Cricetulus griseus: one gene and its partner. The protein of the gene in region 2 interacts with the protein of the main gene of each other region in a pairwise test. Links are inferred from orthologs where the notes say so. Each region holds a gene or a part of one and is shown on either strand. Other genes may lie near its edges.

What was found. The genes of interacting proteins can lie anywhere in the genome.
Region 1: the proteins of Ngly1 (region 2) and Gucd1 interact in binary tests that used the Homo sapiens proteins (3 or more experiments, as listed by UniProt). The two-hybrid records come from large-scale screens. The link is inferred for Cricetulus griseus from reciprocal best matches to the Homo sapiens genes NGLY1 and GUCD1.

Annotation. Positions count from the first base shown.
Region 1 is NW_023276806.1:263,065,594-263,069,700, forward strand, and holds the start of Gucd1 (protein GUCD1), read left to right. Parts: upstream 1-1,302; 5' UTR 1,303-1,419; coding exon 1,420-1,462; intron 1,463-3,570; exon of another isoform or gene 3,571-4,107.
Region 2 is NW_023276807.1:173,763,760-173,767,270, forward strand, and holds part of Ngly1 (peptide-N(4)-(N-acetyl-beta-glucosaminyl)asparagine amidase), read left to right. Parts: intron 1-1,392; coding exon 1,393-1,514; intron 1,515-2,942; coding exon 2,943-3,088; intron 3,089-3,511. UniProt on the Homo sapiens protein: Specifically deglycosylates the denatured form of N-linked glycoproteins in the cytoplasm and assists their proteasome-mediated degradation. Cleaves the beta-aspartyl-glucosamine (GlcNAc) of the glycan and the amide side chain of Asn, converting Asn to Asp.

The sequences.
Region 1 (4,107 bases), on a different chromosome or scaffold from region 2:
GGACACAAAAGGGTCATTGCCAAAGGCTCAGTAGAAAACAAAAAGGAATAATAGCAGCATCTGCAGGATAGCTCGAACATGGCCCTTCTGCAGCACAGCGACTCGCTAAGACTCGTGCAGCAGTCGTGGAAGGCAGGGGAGGGCCAGCGCCGGAATCCGAGGGGAGCAGGGATGCAGAGGACGCTGAAAAGGAGGGCACACAGGGAAAGGGGGTATTTCGTGAGAAACGACTGCGGGCGAGCTCCGAAAATCGGCGAGCCGGAAAGGCACAGAACGCGCAGACAGGCGTAAACGAGGAGCTGCTCCAAGCGCGGGTGAGACGGTGTTTGGATCGGCCCAGGCTTCCCGCCCGCCATTAGTGCCCCGCTGAGCTCCTCCGCAGGCTCCCTTCCTGCCCCTAACCCTCCGGGGACGCCTAGGCCTCCTCTTACCGGTTCTCCGCCTCTCCTCACCGGCTCCCTTTCGGCCCTGGCACAAACGTTACACGGCGAAGGCGTGAAGCGAGGGAATGGCGGGCCCGGGGTACCCAGAATACCACGCGTTCCCAGGATACCGCGCGCAGGGCCCCTCCTCTTCCTTTCCCCAGCGGCGAGAGCGCTCTGACGTATGCTTCCTCCTTAACTCCGCCGGCTCGGAAAACGACGGCTCTGGCATTATCGTTCCGGCCCTGGAGAGGACCCGGGGGGCCGCCGGAAGCATCCGTCCTCGAGCCCCAAAAGGAACATGGAGACCCCCCCCCCACTTACAAAGTACTCCAGGGACGGATTGGGCGGGAGCTAGGCTGGAGCCCCAAAATTGCTGTGGTGCCACAGGAAGTGAGGCTTGGACTAGGAATCTAAGCTTTGGATCTGGTCGCCATCAGGTAAGCGGCGCACCGAGCGTGGGAAACTGGCATTTTTCATCGTGTGGCTAAGACCGAAAGGGAGGCAGAGGAGGATTCCCGGGGCGTTTCGATGAGGCAGGCACTGCGAGGGGCCGGCGCTAACACCCGGGGCTGCAAAGGAGCAAGCCGAGCGGAGGGGGTTTGGGAGGAGCCAACGTCGCTATGGAAGGGCCTGGGGGCGGGGCCCGGGAGGGGCGGGGCTTCCGCAGAAGGCGGGCCCTGCGGGTCGCTCTTTATGGGAGAGAAGTGGGTGGGCGAGGAGGCGTGGCCTAGGGGAGGGGCGGGTCTCCAGGCCGGGGACCTGGCAGGGACGAGGCGGGGCTTGAGGCGGCCTAGCCCCCGCCCACCCGGCTCTGAACCGCGGAGGCGGCGGCGGCGGCGGGCGGCGGTGGCGGCGGCGGCGGGAGGAGGAGGAGGAGGAGGAGGAGAGGCGGCGGCGGAACTCTCCCCACACTGGCCGCGCTCGCTGCCCAGCACAAGTCGCAGCTGCGATCAGCTCCAGGCCGGGGCCATGGGCGCCCTGCGCCACCCGGGTCATGAGGACGGAGGCAGAGGCAGCGGGGCAGCCGCTCGAGCCCGGTCAGTGCCTCTCAGAGGGCCTTGCCCTCACCGGGGAAACCGAGGGGGACTCCGCCCTGGAGCTGGGCAGGGTCTGGCCGCGCGACCTTGGGCCGCAGGCGGCCTCAGCCCAGACTGGAGCTTCCAGTGGACCTTAGCTAGGTGGATGGATATTCCTTCTCGTCTCCCGTCCTCCGCTTCTGGTTGTTTCTCGGGGAGTTCTGAGAGCAGTCAAGTGCAAAAGTCCGAGGGGGCAAAGGCACTGCCTTCCCCAGAAACGAATGGTCCTGCTTGAACCCCGTTGCGTGATGCTGTTCCTAGGGGGAACTGTGGAAGGCCTGGGGCTGTGAAGGGGGAAAGAACGGCCTGAGATCCCTCAGCAAAGGGAAGGGCCTTTTTTTTTTTTTTTTTTTTTTTTTTTTAATCTGGCTTCCCAAACGCAGCGCTTTTGTCTTAGTACTCTTCTCTCTCTGGTTCCCTCCGCCCCGAGGAAACCCGAACCCCTTTGCTTGCTCAAGAAGTGGGGAAAGTTGGAAGTCATGGTGGAGCTCTGCTTGGGGCACAAGAGTTGATATATTAATAAGCTGTTGTGGCGTGCTGCTATCTCATGGGAAGGGTCAAGGGGTTTGGGGCCTGAGCCCTTCCTTAAGTGTCAATTGGAGAGTAACACCACTTTCGGGGAATGGTTCCTTCTGGTGGTAGGCTGGAGCAGGGCTTGGACCTACCCTGGGATTTACATTTTTACTCCTCCAGTTATCTAACTGTGAACTTTGATAAGATCGTTGCCCTTTCTTAGCCTCAGCAAATAATGGCTCACTTGTGTCGAGCTAAGAGGTAGATACAGTGGTAAAGTGTTTATAGATGGTATAGGATTAATTTTCATAAATCCCGGTGAAGTAGGCTACTGCTGTTATTTGTACTTTTTGAGGTGAGCAGGCTGAGGCTGAGAGGGATAATGTGTCCAGGGAGAGTTGACTGCTTTCCTTCACTAGGGACAACCAGACAACTGAAGCCAGGCCACAAACAAAGCAGACCCTAGTTTTCAGGTAGGGTCACTTCTTGGCTTCAGACATCAATATCAGCAGCAGTTTTGAAGTCTAAATGCTAAAGCTGTTATCTGGACAAATACCAAGGCCTCTCCTACACTTATCACCTGCTTCCAGAAAACATCTTGCCTGTGCCAAGATCAGGATAGCCAAGTAGGGATATTTGCCTCGTGAGGCCTCAGGATCTAGGGGTTCTAAGGCTGAGTGAAGTGGGGGAGGGGGGAAAGAGAGAGAGAGAGAGAGAGAGAGAGAGAGATCGCTGAGTTTCTTAGGACCCTGAAGAGCAACCTTCCTAGCCCACATTTTATAACAGTATAAGAGAAGACATGGCCCCAACTAATTAGAACCAGAGTGCAGGCCACAGAGAGAAGAGGGAGTATCCAACAAAGGGTTGTGATCTGGAAGCCTAGAACTAATAGGCTCTGTAGTGACAAGGAGGCATTTCAAGGGGTAGAGCTTTAAAACAAACCTATTCAACAGCATAGAATAATGCTAGCTATGGGTAAAGTCTGGGAAGAGGCAAATGCAACCTTGACCCTACCTGCCTATTACAGAATTCTCAGGCCCACCAGGGAGAAAGCAGATGCCCCCTCTATGAGCCTGATGTGAGGGGGGAGGGGGAGGGGGAGGGGCAGAACATTTGGATGTCAGAGGTGAGAAAGCCACATTCCAGATCATTGGTTAGATAAAAACAAGATCCAGGTAGTAATCAGCTTGAGTAGATCAGAGCAAAAAGGGCATTTACAGCCTCAGTGAGGATTCTGGAAAGGGAAGACACCTATCTTGATAGCGCCTCATTCTGCAGAGAGTTTTCCATCAGTGTATTGAGAGAGAACGGTTTGAGTCTCTGGAGACTGAGGTTTACATCACCTTGGTTTGCCTGAAGCCTCTCACACAGCTCATCGTTCCTTCAGTAAGTGACTTTTTTTTCCTTCCTTTTTTTTAAACTTGTAGCACCGGGGATTGAACCTCGGTCCCTGACAATGCTACGCCCCCAGCCTCAAGTAATATGATGGGTCACTACTAAGCATTAGCTACTAGACAAGGAAACAGCAGACAAAACCAGCAAGTTACCTGGTGTCTTTGTTTATTTTCTCATAATTCTGGAGGCTGAGAATTCTAAGATCAGGGTGCTGGTAAGTTCAGTACAAGATCCATCCATTTCTTATAGCCAACTCTCTCTGGCTATGCCCACATGACAGGGAGAGAGGAAAGAAAGAGAACTTGCACAGCAGAGTATCAGAAGGATAAAAAGAAAAAGGCCTATGACTGTTAGCTTGCTTTTTCTTCTTTACTTCTTCTAAGATTTTGATTATAAAGTTTTGTGTGGCTCGAGTGTTTTGTCTGCATGTGTGTCCATGCAGGTGCCCTCAGAGGCTAGAAGAGGATGCCAGAACCCCTTGAACTGGAGTTACAGACAGCTGTAAGCCGTTGTGTATGTGCCTGGAACAGAACTGAGCCTGGGTCCTTTGCAAAAGCATCAAGTACTCTAACTGCTGAGCCATCTCCAGCTTCTTAGTTTTGTCAACATGATATAATCTATAATCACGTGGGGAAAGAGCCTTAGTAAGAATTGTCTAGGTTAGACTGGGCTGTTGGTTTGCCTATGAGGGATTTTCT
Region 2 (3,511 bases):
AAGCAAAACATGTGCTCAACAAACTTGTCATTGCAGAGCCAGTTCATTCATGGCACTACTTCCTTCTCTTCCCAGGCCTGGGACTGACTTTTCTGTTCAGCTGGAGCACTGAACACACCAGCAGAGCCTTTCTCATTGCAGAATGAAAATCTCAGTGCCCTCCATTCTTAGGATAATTTTATGATTGGAATAACTTTCAGAAGAATGCTACAGTCATCTTGTTTGTAAATTAGCAGGCATCTTTAAATGTGTCCAAAGAATTAATCAAAATCATTAGTAAAAAGAAAACTGGAATTTATACTACATTAAAATCTTTGTGTGTGGGTGAGGAGTCCTGGTGTGTATATGTACAGGTGTGTTCACAGGTACACAGTGAAAGCCACAGGAGAATATCAGAAGCTGATTGAATCATCTGCCTTATTTCCTTAAAACAGAGTCTCTCACCAAAACTGGAACTAGGCTGGTGTCCAGCAAGCCTCAGAAATCCTCCTGTCTCCATCACCCCCAGCTCTGGGGTTACAACTATGCTTGGTCACACCCAGCTTTTTACATGAGTGCTGATCCAAACTTAGGTCCTTATGCTTATGCAGCAAGTGTTCTTAACCACTGAGCCATTCCTCCAAACCCTAATCCCCCCAGCCCTTCTTTTGGTTTTGGTTTTGGTTTTGGAAACAAGGTATCAAGTGGCACAGGCTGACCTTGAACTCCACCTATAGCCAAGAATGACTTTGGATTTCTAATCCTCCTCCTCCTAAATGCTGGGATTGCAGTTGTACAACACCATGCCATCTTTATTTGGTGCTGGGGATTAAACCAGGGGCTTATAGCTAGGCAAGTACCCTACAAACTGAGCTAAATCCCTGACCCTGCCCTTGCCCCTGCCCCTGCCCCTGCCCCTGCCCCAAGCTAAAATCCTTTGAGTAGTTTTTTAAAACTTGCTTGCAAGATAACTGTTGAATGTCTTAATTACATTTCTTAGAAAACTTTCCCACCTAAATCTTATTTGTCAAAACCATGAAGATGAAAACTTCCCTCTCCAACCATTCACCTGTGTCTTAGTTGTTACATGGCTTGTATTACTGATCCTGAGCATGATGGTGTCCTTGAAGAGGTAGTATCCATTTTTAATTAAGACTAAAATTGACTGCATATAGTGAAATTGTGTTCATCCTTGCCCAGAACTATACTCACTGAAGACACTTCCACTGTTTAAGCATAGTTCACAAAGACAAGCACAGTGCCTTACATAGGCTGGGTGCTTTAACCAATATTTTAAAACAAGAAACTAAGACTCATGATTGATACTTAGCATACAAGTGATAGAAATTCTTTAACAATTGGATTTTAATCATGAATCACAGCTGTTGTCTTTGTTGTTGTTTTTTAAACCAGATATAACAACCCTGAGAAACTTTTGGAAACAAGATGTGGACGCTGTGGCGAGTGGGCCAATTGTTTTACGCTGTGTTGCCGTGCATTAGGGTTTGAAGCTCGATATGTGTGGGATTACACAGGTACAGCATGTGGTAGGAGAGAGGAAGAGGTGAGGTAGGAAAGGGGCTCTATAGATTTGGAATTCAGATTTGTGCCCTAAGCCCCTAATTTTCTCTTTCTTATATCAGCCTAAGTTTTTTATTCACCTCCTGTCTTAGTTGGGGTTTCTATTGCTGTGAAATGACCGCAGCAACTCTTTATAAAGGAAAACACCAATTGGGGCTGGCTTACAGTCTCATAGGTTTAGTCCTTTATAATCATGGCAAGCAGCATGGTGGCTTGCAGGCAGGCAGACATGGTGTTGAAGAAGGGACTGAGAGTTCTACATCTTGATCCATAGGCAGCAAAAGGAGACTGTGAGTCATACTGGGTGTAGCTTGAGCATATAAGACCTCAAAGCCTGCCTCCACAGTGACACACTTCCCCCAACAAGGCTGTATCCACTCCAATAAGGCCACACCTCCTAATGGTGCTACTCCCTATGGGCCAAGCATTCAAACACATGAGTCTATGGGAGCCATTCCTATTCAAACTACCATACCTGTGTAAAATAAGAGCAGTACCAACCTCACAGGCATTCTCAAGGCTCCATAAGATTTTTGAAACAGACCTAACTCTATTCCTGGGAGCTAGACTGTATCCTTCTAATCTTTTAGCATGACATTAATGGTAGCCCTGTTCTGGGTGGATGGGAATATGTGTAATAATGTGCTGTGGAGATCATTTTTAAAGGGATTGCTGTAATTGACACGGCCTATATTGCAGTCTACACAAACACTCTGAGGAAAGCCTTGGTATTTGACTTGGTCTTCATTTAGAAATGACTGTTGTGTCTGGTTGCTGTCTCTGTTTCAAGGTTTTCCTTGTTTACACTATTATTTTAGAATCAGATGAAAATGTCAGCTAATAGTCTTCTCTCTGTCAAAATCAAATGTAGAGCCTCAAGCAGGGTATGGTGGCATATGCCTGTAATCCCAGCATTCAACACAGGCTGTGGCAGGAGGATTGAAGCCAGCCTAGGTATTCATTTACCTATTGATGAGACTCCATTTCAAAACCAAATATAGACCATAAACAACCGGATATCCTGTTAGGCCTCGTGGGTCCAGAGAGTGATTGTAGTTTCAAAATTCAGTCATTCCTTCACAGCCTGGTGGTTGTGATGCTTTGCTAAAACTTTGCCTGCTTTAGAGTTTGCCTGCTTTAGAGTTATAACACACATTATTTTTAATTAAGACTTACACGAGTACATTTTAAAAAATTTAAATACAAATAATCTACAATTATGTGTGCCACAAAATGCTTTTGCTAACTAACTAAAATTTAAACATTATAAATTAGATTATTATGTGATTCGTAGAACATTATATATAGTTAATTGGAAGTTATTCTTGTTTTACAAACTTAACTTCTATTTCCCATTTCTTTTTCTTACCCCATGTGAGTAGACCATGTTTGGACAGAAGTCTATTCTTCTTCTCAGCAGCGGTGGCTGCACTGTGATGCATGTGAAGACGTCTGTGACAAACCTCTCCTTTATGAAATAGGATGGGGCAAAAAGCTTTCCTATATCATAGCATTCTCTAAAGATGAGGTAGGACATAAGAGAAAGAATTACAAGAATAAAACTATTTTAAAGTGTATTTGACATTCAGGTCATATACATTTGCCCTGTGCTGTTTAATATATGTCATTTTTATATTCCAAAAACTCACTGTAATCAGTGTTTTCTGCTGTGGGTGTACCAAGGAATGTTCGTATCTATGTACCTACAGGTGGACATTAAATGGGTTCAGTTTTTAATATTTTAAATTAAGCTGCTACAAACATTCTGGTATATACTTGCTTTTTCTTTCTGTTTACTACCTAGGAGTAGAATGGCTGGATCATTGTCCAGTTATTTTGCAAAGGAATGGCACCATTTTATTTTCTTACCAGCAGTACATGAGACTTCCCAGTTTCTCCACATCTTTGCCAAAGTTTAATGTGGCTTTACTTTTAAATTTAGCCCTGACGA